Linked DNA regions of Arabidopsis thaliana. The protein of the gene in region 1 interacts with the protein of each later gene in a pairwise test. Each region holds a gene or a part of one and is shown in the gene's direction. Other genes may lie near its edges. The genes, in order: AT5G18450, GATA4 and BEL10.

What was found.
Region 2: the proteins of AT5G18450 (region 1) and GATA4 interact in a two-hybrid assay, tested with the Arabidopsis thaliana proteins (one large-scale study listed by BioGRID).
Region 3: the proteins of AT5G18450 (region 1) and BEL10 interact in a two-hybrid assay, tested with the Arabidopsis thaliana proteins (one large-scale study listed by BioGRID).

Annotation. Positions count from the first base shown.
Region 1 is NC_003076.8:6,115,474-6,118,781, reverse strand, and holds AT5G18450 (Integrase-type DNA-binding superfamily protein), read left to right. Parts: upstream 1-1,740; 5' UTR 1,741-1,761; coding exon 1,762-2,685; 3' UTR 2,686-2,758; downstream 2,759-3,308. Other genes in the region: NUFIP (GATA zinc finger protein), read right to left, coding at 3,034-3,308. UniProt on the Arabidopsis thaliana protein: Transcriptional activator that binds specifically to the DNA sequence 5'-[AG]CCGAC-3'.
Region 2 is NC_003074.8:22,371,140-22,375,056, forward strand, and holds GATA4 (GATA transcription factor 4), read left to right. Parts: upstream 1-1,873; 5' UTR 1,874-2,208; coding exon 2,209-2,418; intron 2,419-2,495; coding exon 2,496-3,008; 3' UTR 3,009-3,415; downstream 3,416-3,917. UniProt on the Arabidopsis thaliana protein: Transcriptional activator that specifically binds 5'-GATA-3' or 5'-GAT-3' motifs within gene promoters. May be involved in the regulation of some light-responsive genes.
Region 3 is NC_003070.9:6,809,262-6,814,806, reverse strand, and holds BEL10 (BEL1-like homeodomain 10), read left to right. Parts: upstream 1-1,743; 5' UTR 1,744-1,964; intron 1,965-2,049; exon of another isoform or gene 2,050-2,603; intron 2,604-2,812; exon of another isoform or gene 2,813-2,879; 5' UTR 2,880-2,952; coding exon 2,953-3,696; intron 3,697-3,784; coding exon 3,785-4,170; intron 4,171-4,275; coding exon 4,276-4,336; intron 4,337-4,423; coding exon 4,424-4,849; 3' UTR 4,850-5,042; downstream 5,043-5,545. Other genes in the region: AT1G19690 (NAD(P)-binding Rossmann-fold superfamily protein), read left to right, coding at 5,245-5,471.

The DNA of each region.
Region 1 (3,308 bases):
GGTGTAAAAACAGATACTTCGTGCCGAAGCACCTAATCAATGGTAGAGCCATGTGTTCCGAGTCGTTTGCCAGGCCACCCTCGATCTTGACACCTGGCATATGAACATGACATATTCCATTTTCGCATGTACGTAGACTTATATACTTCGCATTTATTTTGTTGTTTATCTTATATTATTACTCCTATCCAAAAACTAAACGGTGAAACTTATAATCTAAGTAAAACCTCGAAAACGAAAACCTAAGAATCGTATACAAAATCTGTAAGTATTACATATGGATATGACTCGAGCTATTTGGAGTGTGGTTTTATTCAGGTTTGTGTTGTAAATTTGTTAAGAAAAACAGTTTTCGGATGTTTCAAAAAAAAAAAAAAAAAAGAGAAAATAATAAATCAATTAATTATTGTTAAATCTAACATTCACTAAATATATTAATCTTTTTTTAATCAGTTTTTGTTTAAAAACTCACAAAAACTAATTTTAAAAGATATTATTTACATATCATGAAACAGTAGAATATAAATTTTTTGTGTCAGATTATCCATTTTTATATTTTGCATTAGGAAAAATTAATGATGAAAAGTTTATGAATTTTTATTACCGTTCTGAAAATCTTCCACATATATTAGTTTATTTTATATCTTTTAAAATTATAATTTTTTTAATTATGCATGTGTATTTATATATTAGGGAATTACCGTACAATCTCTATAAATTAATAATTGATAAATTAATAAACACGATAAATTAATAAATTTTGTTAGTCCCAAGTCGGACCAATGTAAAAATTAACCAAAATCGATAAGATAATAAGATAATATTTTTTTTTGAAATTTCTATGTAAAATTATAGTCTCAATAATATTATAAATTAATAATTATAGATCTTAAGAATATATTTTAAGACTAATTTTTATATGAAATTTTTGTTCAAATTATAATTACAACTCTTTTTAAAATACAACTCGTATGATTTATGTTTTACTCACATAACTATTTGCATATTTGATTCGTCATAATTGATTTTGTAAAATCTTTTATTTGAGAAAGCATTGGTAAGATTTGTGTAAAGAGAAATTGGATTAAGTTTCATGTTTGTGTTTACGTTCACGTTAATATCGTAGATATACAGATACAATATCTTACCGAAAAATAAATAAAAGAAGTCAAGGAAAAATAAAAATCTGACATAATAATATATGCAAACAACAAATCATATAGAAAATTAAATTAACAGACATTTTTTAAAAATTATAGTATTGTATTTTACGTAAATATTTCTATAAATTAATATTTAATATTTATATAATAAATTATAAATATTAATTTATAAGATAAATTAATATTACTATAAATTAATAAAATTTTATTGGTCCCAACATTATTAATTTATAAAGTTTCTACTCTATATGTTTTAAATAAACAAAAAAATCAAAAAATACATTGGATATATAACATAGTATCTCCTTAATTTTCACTTTTTAAGGAGAGGGGCTTAGAGAGAAACACAAACACGTGAGTCATCATCAAGACAGTGGTCGGGGGTCACTTTCGTGTAACACAGACATTAAATCAAATAAACAAAACGAGAGATCCTTTACCTTAGTGTATACACACAGAACACACGTACACACTCATATTTACATTTGCCACGTAAGAATACGTATACTCCTGACGTGTCCTGTATATATATACACACGCACACTTCAATTTTTCATTCACTAAACCAGATTTAATTTGAGACTCTCAAAGAAACACCATGGAAGAAGAGCAACCTCCGGCCAAGAAACGAAACATGGGGAGATCTAGAAAAGGTTGCATGAAAGGTAAAGGCGGTCCAGAGAACGCCACGTGTACTTTCCGTGGAGTTAGGCAACGGACTTGGGGTAAATGGGTGGCTGAGATCCGTGAGCCTAACCGTGGGACTCGTCTCTGGCTCGGCACGTTTAATACCTCGGTCGAGGCCGCCATGGCTTACGATGAAGCCGCTAAGAAACTCTATGGACACGAGGCTAAACTCAACTTGGTGCACCCACAACAACAACAACAAGTAGTAGTGAACAGAAACTTGTCTTTTTCTGGCCACGGGTCGGGTTCTTGGGCTTATAATAAGAAGCTCGATATGGTTCATGGGTTGGACCTTGGTCTCGGCCAGGCAAGTTGTTCACGAGGTTCTTGCTCAGAGAGATCGAGTTTTCTACAAGAAGATGATGATCATAGTCATAATCGATGTTCGTCTTCAAGTGGTTCGAATCTTTGTTGGTTATTACCTAAACAAAGTGATTCACAAGATCAAGAGACCGTTAATGCTACGACTAGTTATGGCGGTGAAGGCGGTGGTGGCTCTACGTTAACGTTTTCGACCAATTTGAAACCAAAGAATTTGATGAGTCAGAATTATGGATTATACAATGGAGCTTGGTCTAGGTTTCTTGTGGGGCAAGAAAAGAAGACGGAACATGACGTGTCATCGTCGTGTGGATCGTCGGACAACAAGGAGAGTATGTTGGTTCCTAGTTGCGGCGGAGAGAGGATGCATAGGCCGGAGTTGGAAGAGCGAACAGGATATTTGGAAATGGATGATCTTTTGGAGATTGATGATTTAGGTTTGTTGATTGGCAAAAATGGAGATTTCAAGAATTGGTGTTGTGAAGAGTTTCAACATCCATGGAATTGGTTCTGAGAGTTTTTATTTATTACTATTATTTATCATACATATTTCTTATATTTGACTTAGGATTGTTTATTTGTTATACATCAATCGTGGGATTTTTTGTTTTCTCCTTGCATGTAGTGCTTATGTGTGTAAATAGGTTTGGGCATAATGTGAATTTTCTTACACGTTTTGTAAAAACAAATTAATAGAGATGAAGCAAGTTTCGAATGTGACACTATTTTTACTCTCATGTTCCTTGTATCAGATTATTTATCTTACTGTTTCCTGCGGACATATCTTCAAAACGAAAACACATATAGATTAATATCACAAATCCTTATACTGCTCATGTGTCCGGTCTTACAAATTTAAACATCAAACATCTTCATCACATGAGCTATCATCGCCATCCACATCATCGCCATCACTAAGGCCATCACATAAACCTTCAATTGAGGGATCTTCCATAGCATCTTCACAGCCAGTTTCTTTTACTGTAATCAAAGGTAACTTCAGAGGTTGCTCTGGAAACTCCTTCAACAATGAATTCATTACCATGAAGCGGAAGACCTGTAATAACTGGCTTTTGTCTCTCTTTATGTCTGCGCTTAGGAGCTTCTCAAGCAATGTAGGTTTTCTAGTCGTTATGG
Region 2 (3,917 bases), on another chromosome or scaffold:
GCCGAATATGAACACAATGTTCGCAACAATTGGTTCCCCATTCTTTATATCATATGCATGTGCCGTGCGTGTTTGTACATATATGAGTAGTTTCTGTATAGTTGAAAAACTGAATAAATTAATGAAGGAGCAATGCATGAAAGAGACATAAGAAGATAAATGATAGGGAAAAAATATGTATATATAAACCTAAAAAGAGGGCCATAGGAATTTATAGAACCAAAGTGCAATGCACTTCGGATCGTCGGTCGACTCATCTCCTTCATTGTCTCCATCCATTTTCCCATTCCCCACTACATTTTTATAGTTATCTCTTCAATGTTTAAAATAATATGTCAAAACAACTCTTTATCAAAACTAAATTTTCGTTACTTCTGGTAGTAAGGATATTTCTAAACGTTATCACATTAGTTATTAATCAAACCTGTGAAAGACATGCTAGGTTACTGAAGAATGATATTAGATACTTGTGTACACTCTATTCTACAACGATCGAAGCTAGTCCCACTTCTGTGTCTCTTTCTTTTTCTGTAAGTGTGATTGCAAAATGCGAAATATTCATGTAAGCACAAGAAACAAGATAGTTATACATTCGCATCACTTTGTATTAATAAATTGTTGAGCCAATTTTGTTCTCTATTTCCTTGTTTTGGTCATGTTGAAATTCAACTCTATGATTGATTACACATTCCGGAGAATATTATTTTATTTTCTTTGAACAAGAAAACATAAAAAAAAAAAAAAACTCAACGGGATACTAAATGATCCAACTCACAAATTTCAACAAAATTAAGAAAAAAAATCGGAAAACCTTTTTAGGAGATGGCAGAAGAATTTAATTAACAAAAGGGAGAGAGGCTTATTGAAAAAAATAAAATTAGTAACCTTGCATTTATTTAATTTCCCCTTCATTACTTGTTTAAATTAATAAAACTATAGACTATGATCTATAATGAGTTTATTGCAAATAAGGCATTTGTCTTAGATATATATTTTATTTTAGGCACTTTTGAAATGATCTTTAGATTTAGGCACTTCTTTCCTGGGGAAAGTCGTTTTTACCCTTACAGAGAGATGATGTTGTTCTTTCTTTGTTGATGAACTTTTACGTTTTACACTAGAAATCAAAAATACTTGCGACCAACACCAACAACTTTGGAGTCATTGATTACAGAGTGATGTCAGCGACGATTGGAAATTCAGACGACTAACAATCGGTCCTCATGAGATGTGAATGCGATCTAGATTTTTAACATCCCACATTTTGAGATCTGGAAAAAAAAAACAAGAAACAAAAAAGTCCCACGATTTAGTATTACGATTTGCACGTTTTTTTGTTCAGTGATTTTTGTGCAGGTTAAGGAATTCAAGAAGTGATTGATACTTTGTTGATTGCTCAATTGATGTTCATAATCATGTCTACAAGTACATTGATTTTTGTTCATGTTAATGGTGTTTGATGATAATGAGGATGGTTGTAGTGTTGTGTTATTGTGTGTATGTAAGAATTGCATACTCTATATTTGACGGTTTGGGTTTACAAGTCTAATTCTAGGGTATAGCGTTTACCATTGACGCCGTTCGTTACCCCTCGTTGTCAAAGCCGTGAACCACCACCAAATCTTTGTGCTATCGTCAAAGCTTCATGCCTACCGTCGAAGCTGCAAGTCCACTATCTAAGCCATATATCTTTGGATGTCAAAAGAAACTTAAAATTGAATCAGAGATGGGGATACAATTTTTAGAAGATAAACACATTCTTTTCACCTCATTCTCAACTCCAGTTCATAGTTTAAGGGCAAAAATGTCCGTAACAATAAAAATTGAAGTATTATATGCTTTTACTGTTTAGAGTGTCTGTTTTGAAAGAAATGTTTTCAAAATGCTTGTTTAGAATATAAGCTCGATCTATAATATATGCGTTTTTAAAAAAAGACTAGTATATGCATTATGTAATTCATGGTTAATTAATCCTCTGGTAAGTAAATTAAATAGCACATGCATGTTCAAAGAAAAATGTAGACAAATATATTAAAGTGGATAAATAAATAGAAAAAAAGGGAGTGGTCAGGTCAGTCTCGGTGCATGCTAACTCTATGCACGTTCTCATCTTCGTCTCTTTCCTCACTTACACTAATTCTCTCTCTCTATATTAAACCTCTGAACCAGTGACCACATACATACTCAGTAAGCGAGTCCGAGTCAACAATGGACGTCTACGGCATGTCTTCACCGGACTTGCTTCGTATCGACGACCTTCTCGATTTCTCCAACGACGAAATCTTCTCTTCCTCTTCCACCGTCACTTCCTCCGCCGCTTCCTCCGCCGCTTCTTCCGAAAACCCTTTCAGCTTTCCTTCTTCCACCTACACTTCTCCTACTCTCCTCACCGACTTCACTCACGATCTCTGCGTTCCCGTACGTTTTCAAATTTCAATTTACCCTAATTTTGATTTTGATTTTGAATTTCTAAGTTCTGATTTTGAGTTTTGCAGAGTGACGACGCAGCTCATCTCGAATGGTTATCGCGATTCGTTGACGATTCATTCTCCGATTTCCCAGCAAATCCTTTAACCATGACCGTTAGACCCGAGATTTCATTCACCGGAAAACCTAGAAGTCGCCGATCAAGAGCACCAGCACCTTCCGTAGCTGGAACTTGGGCTCCGATGTCTGAATCAGAGCTTTGTCACTCCGTCGCTAAACCTAAACCGAAGAAAGTCTACAACGCTGAATCGGTTACGGCGGATGGAGCGAGGCGGTGCACGCACTGTGCCTCGGAGAAAACGCCACAGTGGAGAACTGGACCGCTTGGACCTAAAACACTTTGTAACGCTTGTGGAGTTCGTTACAAATCAGGGAGGCTTGTACCGGAATACAGACCGGCGTCGAGTCCGACGTTTGTATTGACTCAGCATTCGAACTCTCATCGGAAAGTTATGGAGCTCCGGCGACAGAAGGAACAACAAGAATCTTGCGTTCGAATTCCGCCGTTTCAGCCGCAGTAAATTTGGGGGTTTTCTTTTCAAGGGTTTTTGTGATTTGGTGACGTGTCGTAATCTTAACGGTGATGATCACGTGACCGACGGGAGGGGTTAAGGACTTAATTATCAGTATTAGTTTAAAGTTTGCAAATCTCTGCTAATTAATTTGTTGGTAATTTCTATTGATTTTTTTCTTGCTTTTGTTTATTGGTCTCACGGCTCTCCTTAAAGTTATATCATTAAATGATTTCATTGGCGGCATTTAATTTTCCTCTTTTCAGATATAAAAGCTTCTCAACCACCATGGACTCTGCTTTTTGTGACTTATGATGTTATATCACACATGACAATGCTGGTTAATCTTCATACATACATCATACATGTTACATGCTTGAGAATTTGAGTTTTTGGCATTTCACGAGGCAATTCAGTTTACTACTTTCTTAAAAAATAGTAACCTAAGCCATACCAAACCTAACTCTCTCTGGTTTAGGCTATTCAAATCTAACAATTTTTCGCTTTATTCCATCTGAACCAAAAATTACCAATACTCTTATACAAAGTGCTTAAACCTCTTATAAATAAACTAAACTGGTTAGGCGGTAACACCGAAACAGAACAAACAAATGATCTGAAAATTGAACCATAATGTGGTGTATAGTGTCACCGTTATTCAAATCCAGAACCCCGACAGACCGAATCCTAATAGAAACCAAAGCAAGGTCTTAACATTAAGATATCGAACCAGAAATACCATACAAAACTAATCTAATTTGGTTAATTTTCCGCTTAAACTATCAACTAAACCAAGCCAAGAAAAAAGAGGATCAAATATATGTATAAAGAAAGACAAAAATTCAAATATCAAGAAACTGCAAAAATGTTGAGGTCAATTGAGACTACTCAAGAAAACAACAACAAAACTCAAAACAT
Region 3 (5,545 bases), on another chromosome or scaffold:
TAGAGGAGAGATTTAATGGGGAAAAGCCGCTAATCAGTGTTGACTCTTTGCAGAAGTTTGCAATTCACGCCGTTTTTGTTATTTAGAAGGAAGTTGATTGCCGTTTCTCAGCAGGCCCCCGATGGAATCCTCTCTTCATATTTATAATGGGCTTTAAAAGGCCTATTTGCTAAAAGCCTAAAACTAAACTAGTTATGATGATAGTTAATGCATACTATATGGTTTTAATTCTTTTTTTTTCTTAAGCTAAGCTAGGCTTCAGATTAGTTTTGCTGATACAATTTTGGTTTGGTTTTGTTTGGTTCTAATAATGGAGAGCATAATGATTTCGATCCATAGAATATAAATGTTACAAACATGAATTTTAGTGGTGATGATCCGTCTTCATATATGGTCCAACAATGTATGTGGCAATAAATTCTTTTACTTTTTGTTACACGGCCATAACTTGTGGCTATTTATTATAAAGTTTTTTTTCGGATATATCCATGTAATTAATATATTTGACAATTGGCAAGAATTATTATACTTCAACATTTTCCTCCAAACCAAAGGTTGTTCATTTCTTACTCACACACATTTTCCTCGTTTAGCATCATCGATTCATCCTCAACTTTAAAATATGATTTACAGAACCATACGGTTTTAAAAATAATTACATCATTAATAATCTAAATTTTTAGTAGATTTAATCAATCTCTCACCAGCTAACTGCCTAATTAATTTATTTTTAATCATCATTATAAATCAAGATCCACGTGGAAACAAAAGTCAATATCATCATCTCTCAAAGACTCAAAACACATGAATAATAATTTTCCAACACAATGGTACTTGCCAAATGATTTTGTGTCGGCTGCTCTAAATCCAATCTCCAACAAACCAAAACGAAACTACTTGTTATTTTAAAAATCAGAGGAAATGGATTATATTATTAGTGTAGCTATAAAGATAATCTTTTACGTATTCTTCATTGTGGAATATGCAAATACAAACATGTAAGTGTATAACTAAAAGGTTTATAACAAAAGAAATAAAAAGACAAGAGAACTTAGAATAAAAATTGGGTATAACAGAAGAGTAAGGAGGGACTCACCAACTGGTTGTTAAGTCATTTAATCCATCAATTAAGCAATTGAGCAGACACACACCCACCTTTGTTTTATCTTCTTCCTTAAACCAGCTTATCAGGGTCAGTTTTGTAATCTCATATTCCTACCTATAATGACGTTTCTATGTTTTATTTGATGGAGTTTAATTTCCGCTACCATGCATAACTAAAAGTATATCCGTTATATCAAACATTTAAAGAAAACCTCAAAGATATTGAACTACAAAGTGCTCAAGAAGTTCTATTAAAAATGTATCGAACTTTAACTTTATGATGAAAGCAAGGTGATAAGAACAAATAGTTTAAAAAAACATTTTAGTTTGAAATCCAAATCTAGACTCTATAATTTGTGGCAGGTAATAATTTCACTATTTTGGAGCCTCACGTACACAAATCAGGAAGTCGTTAAAAGTTTCCCACGATACCATGGTAATGTACGCATTATAGATTATTTCGTTTAAATAGTTAGATTTGGTTTTTTTTTTTAATATACAAATACTAAACTTTTCATATATAAACACTCATTCCTTCAACTTTTTTCTTTTGGTTGTATTTAGTTAACTTATACGGAAAAGTAGTATGAGTCTCAAGTCAATGACAACACAACATCATTAAAGTATAATACAATCATCTATAAAAATCCATTTATTTGTGTGTGTGGAATTGTTAAGTTTTGTATGTTAAAGTCGTCATAAGAAATATTATCACGTAATCAAGAAAAGAAAATTGGTGATTTGTAAGCTCTCACGTGTTTCTCTATGAATGGTTGGCACACAAAAAAAATCATATTAATTTATCTTTACTCTAAGCATCAGAAACAGAAGCTTCTGCCGCAAAAAATTAAAAATTACAGGTAGCGGTTGTCAAATTTTTCCGGTAGTGATCATTATTTTATTTTATTGTTGATATTGCATAATAATATTTTTAAAAATTGGGTTGGTGTCTAATGTCCCAATGATAAGTTGGGTTGGTTTTATTGTTCTTGTGGACTGAAAAAAATTTGTTTATTTAAGAATTTTGCAATTATTAATCGCCTCTTTCTCTATCTCTCTCGGGATTGGGTCTCAAATCTTTTTTTGTCTTCAACTGTTCGAAACTCTTCTGCTTTTGTGTTTCCTGATTCAGCCACATCCACACTCACAAACACAATCTCTAGGTTTTTTTTCTTCCTTTTAACTTTGATTCTCTCCCTCAGGTAGTTTTTAAAAATTCAAGTTCTTGATTCTTGATTCTTGATATGATTAATCTTGTACTGTGTTTCTTGATTATTATTTTTTGTATACTTTCTGTGTTTTTTTTCTCCCTTGCTTTTTGGAAATTCTCCTACAAGAGATGAAATCATCAAGACACTTTACTTCTTTATGTAATAATTGAATCTTCTCTGCTTTTGACTCACTACGTTGAGCTACACAATTTCTTTTTACTCTGCATTTTTTTTTCCAACCTCAAATTAGGGTTTTTTTCTCCTCTCAATTTCACCTCCATAGATCGGGTATTCCTCTACGATTACACAATTCCTGTATTGGGTTTTTCTGGGTTTCTTCAGTTCTTCACGAAAAACATTTGCTTTTTATCAAGAATTTGACTTTAATCCTCCGAATAATTTGGTCCGATTCTGTTTGTTGCTTTCGAAACTGTTTATGTATGATATATAAAAAAAATGGTTTGGTGTGAAATGATTACGATGTTTTAACCTCTCTTAGATTCCATCAGAAATTTTTAAAATTCCACACCTTACACGACTCTTCTTCCTCTTATTTTTTTGCAGGATCTCATTTCCCGACCAAACTCATCGAACTAAGAACTCACTGTAATAAAACTTTTAAAAGGTGTAAACACCAATGGCAGTTTATTACACAAGTAATGTCGGTTGTTACCAGCAAGAACCAATCTTTCTCAACCATCAACAACAAAACCAACAAGCTTCTTCTTCATCCGCCGCCGCTTCTTTCACCGTCACCGGCGGCGATACTGTTCGAAACGAGATGGTTTTTATCCCACCAACCACCACAGGAGACGTTGTAACAGGAAACGGTACCGTTTCAAGCAGCGATCTAAGCTTTCACGATGGTCAAGGACTGTCTTTGAGCCTTGGTACTCAGATCTCTGTTGCTCCGTTTCACTTTCATCAATACCAATTGGGGTTTACTAGTCAGAATCCTTCAATTTCAGTCAAGGAAACGTCACCGTTTCATGTGGATGAGATGAGTGTGAAGAGCAAAGAAATGATCTTGTTGGGTCAATCTGATCCTTCCTCTGGTTATGCTGGTAATGGTGGGAATGGCTTCTACAACAATTATCGGTATAATGAGACATCAGGAGGGTTTATGAGCAGCGTTCTGCGTTCTCGGTATCTTAAACCTGCTCAGAATTTGCTTGATGAAGTGGTTAGTGTCAAGAAAGAACTAAACCAAATGGGGAAGAAGAAGATGAAAGTTAATGACTTTAACAGTGGTTCTAAGGAGATAGAAGGAGGAGGTGGTGAGTTATCGAGTGATTCGAATGGGAAATCGATTGAGTTATCTACAATTGAACGTGAAGAGCTTCAGAACAAGAAGAACAAGCTTTTAACAATGGTTGATGAGGTAACTAACTTACATTTCATAAAACTACCTTTGGTTTATAACAGGATTGATGGTGATTTGGTTGTTGTGGATGTGTTAATGGTTGCAGGTAGATAAAAGATATAACCAATATTACCATCAAATGGAAGCATTAGCTTCATCATTTGAGATAGTAGCAGGACTTGGATCAGCTAAGCCTTACACATCAGTTGCTCTCAACAGAATCTCTCGCCATTTTCGTGCTCTTCGCGACGCAATAAAGGAACAAATTCAGATTGTTAGAGAAAAACTTGGGGAGAAAGGAGGAGAGTCGTTGGATGAGCAACAAGGAGAGAGGATACCAAGGTTGAGGTATTTAGATCAACGGTTGAGACAGCAAAGAGCTTTGCATCAACAGCTTGGAATGGTTCGACCTGCTTGGAGACCTCAAAGAGGTCTTCCTGAAAACTCTGTCTCTGTTCTTCGCGCTTGGCTCTTTGAACATTTCCTTCATCCGTAAGTGTTTCTTCTCTCACAAGTCACAAGTCACAATCTTTCAATCTCCCAGTACAAAACATTTAGAGAGACTCTATGTTTTTCTTCTGTTTTTTTTATTTGTAGATATCCGAAAGAATCTGAGAAAATCATGCTTGCAAAGCAGACAGGATTGTCAAAGAACCAGGTATAAACCAAGCTTTTGGTCTTCACTTAAAATTTGCACCCTTTGTGTTCTGCTTGAATAATTCTGGTTTCTCTGCTAAATGATTAGGTTGCTAATTGGTTCATAAACGCGAGAGTTCGTCTGTGGAAACCGATGATCGAAGAAATGTATAAAGAAGAGTTTGGTGATGAATCTGAGTTACTAATCTCCAAATCTTCCCAAGAACCCAACAGCACAAACCAAGAAGACTCCTCATCGCAGCAGCAGCAGCAGCAAGAGAACAACAACAACAGCAACCTCGCTTATTCATCTGCAGACACAACAAACATTGTCTTCTCATCAGAAACCAAACCAGATCGTGTTCTAGGCAATGATAACGACCCACAGCAACAACAGATAAACCGCTCATCGGATTACGACACTCTGATGAACTATCACGGGTTTGGTGTTGATGATTACCGTTACATTAGCGGAAGCAACCAGCAAGAAAGCAGATTCTCCAATTCCCATCACTTACACGACTTTGTTGTGTGATATTATCTGGTTCTTCTTGGTACAGAGGAGATGATTCTTGAAGCGCAAGAAATGTGCTTTTGCATTTTTATAGTATTAGGCATAATACACCCATTCTCTATGGATTATATAGTAGATGTGTAGGTTGCTTTTGTGTATAGTAGACTCTTAAGCCAAATATTGATATGTGTGTATAATAATATTCACGGTGGTATAAAGGATACTTGCAAGTGTGAAAAAATCTGAACTTGAGACTTTTGTGGTAAATGTTTCACGATTCTTTATAGTATATATCACTGGACTGTAAAAACGAAATGCAGTCCTTGATTTTGAAAACAAAACGGCACGTAGTTTCTTTGTACTGTGAATCAGTTAAAGTACAACAGACCTTGGAGTCTCTCAGTCCTCCGATTTCAATGGCGGTTTTTCAGTTACCAAGTTTGTCACCGGAGATTCCTTTCCGTTTTACTCCCACACCACTTAAATTTTCAAATCGTAGGAGAATCAACTTTTTCCGGCCATTATCAGCAACCGACGATTCTCGATCCGGTGCACCAGATCCAGAATCGCCGAACCAAATGTTCATTCTCGGGATGGGATTCGTCGGAGGTTTTTTTGCGCAACAGCTCAAAGAATCAGACTGGTCTGATATCTCAGTTTCTCTCCTTATCTCTATATCTATCTATTTTCATCTTTCTCCGATGGTGTTAACAATTT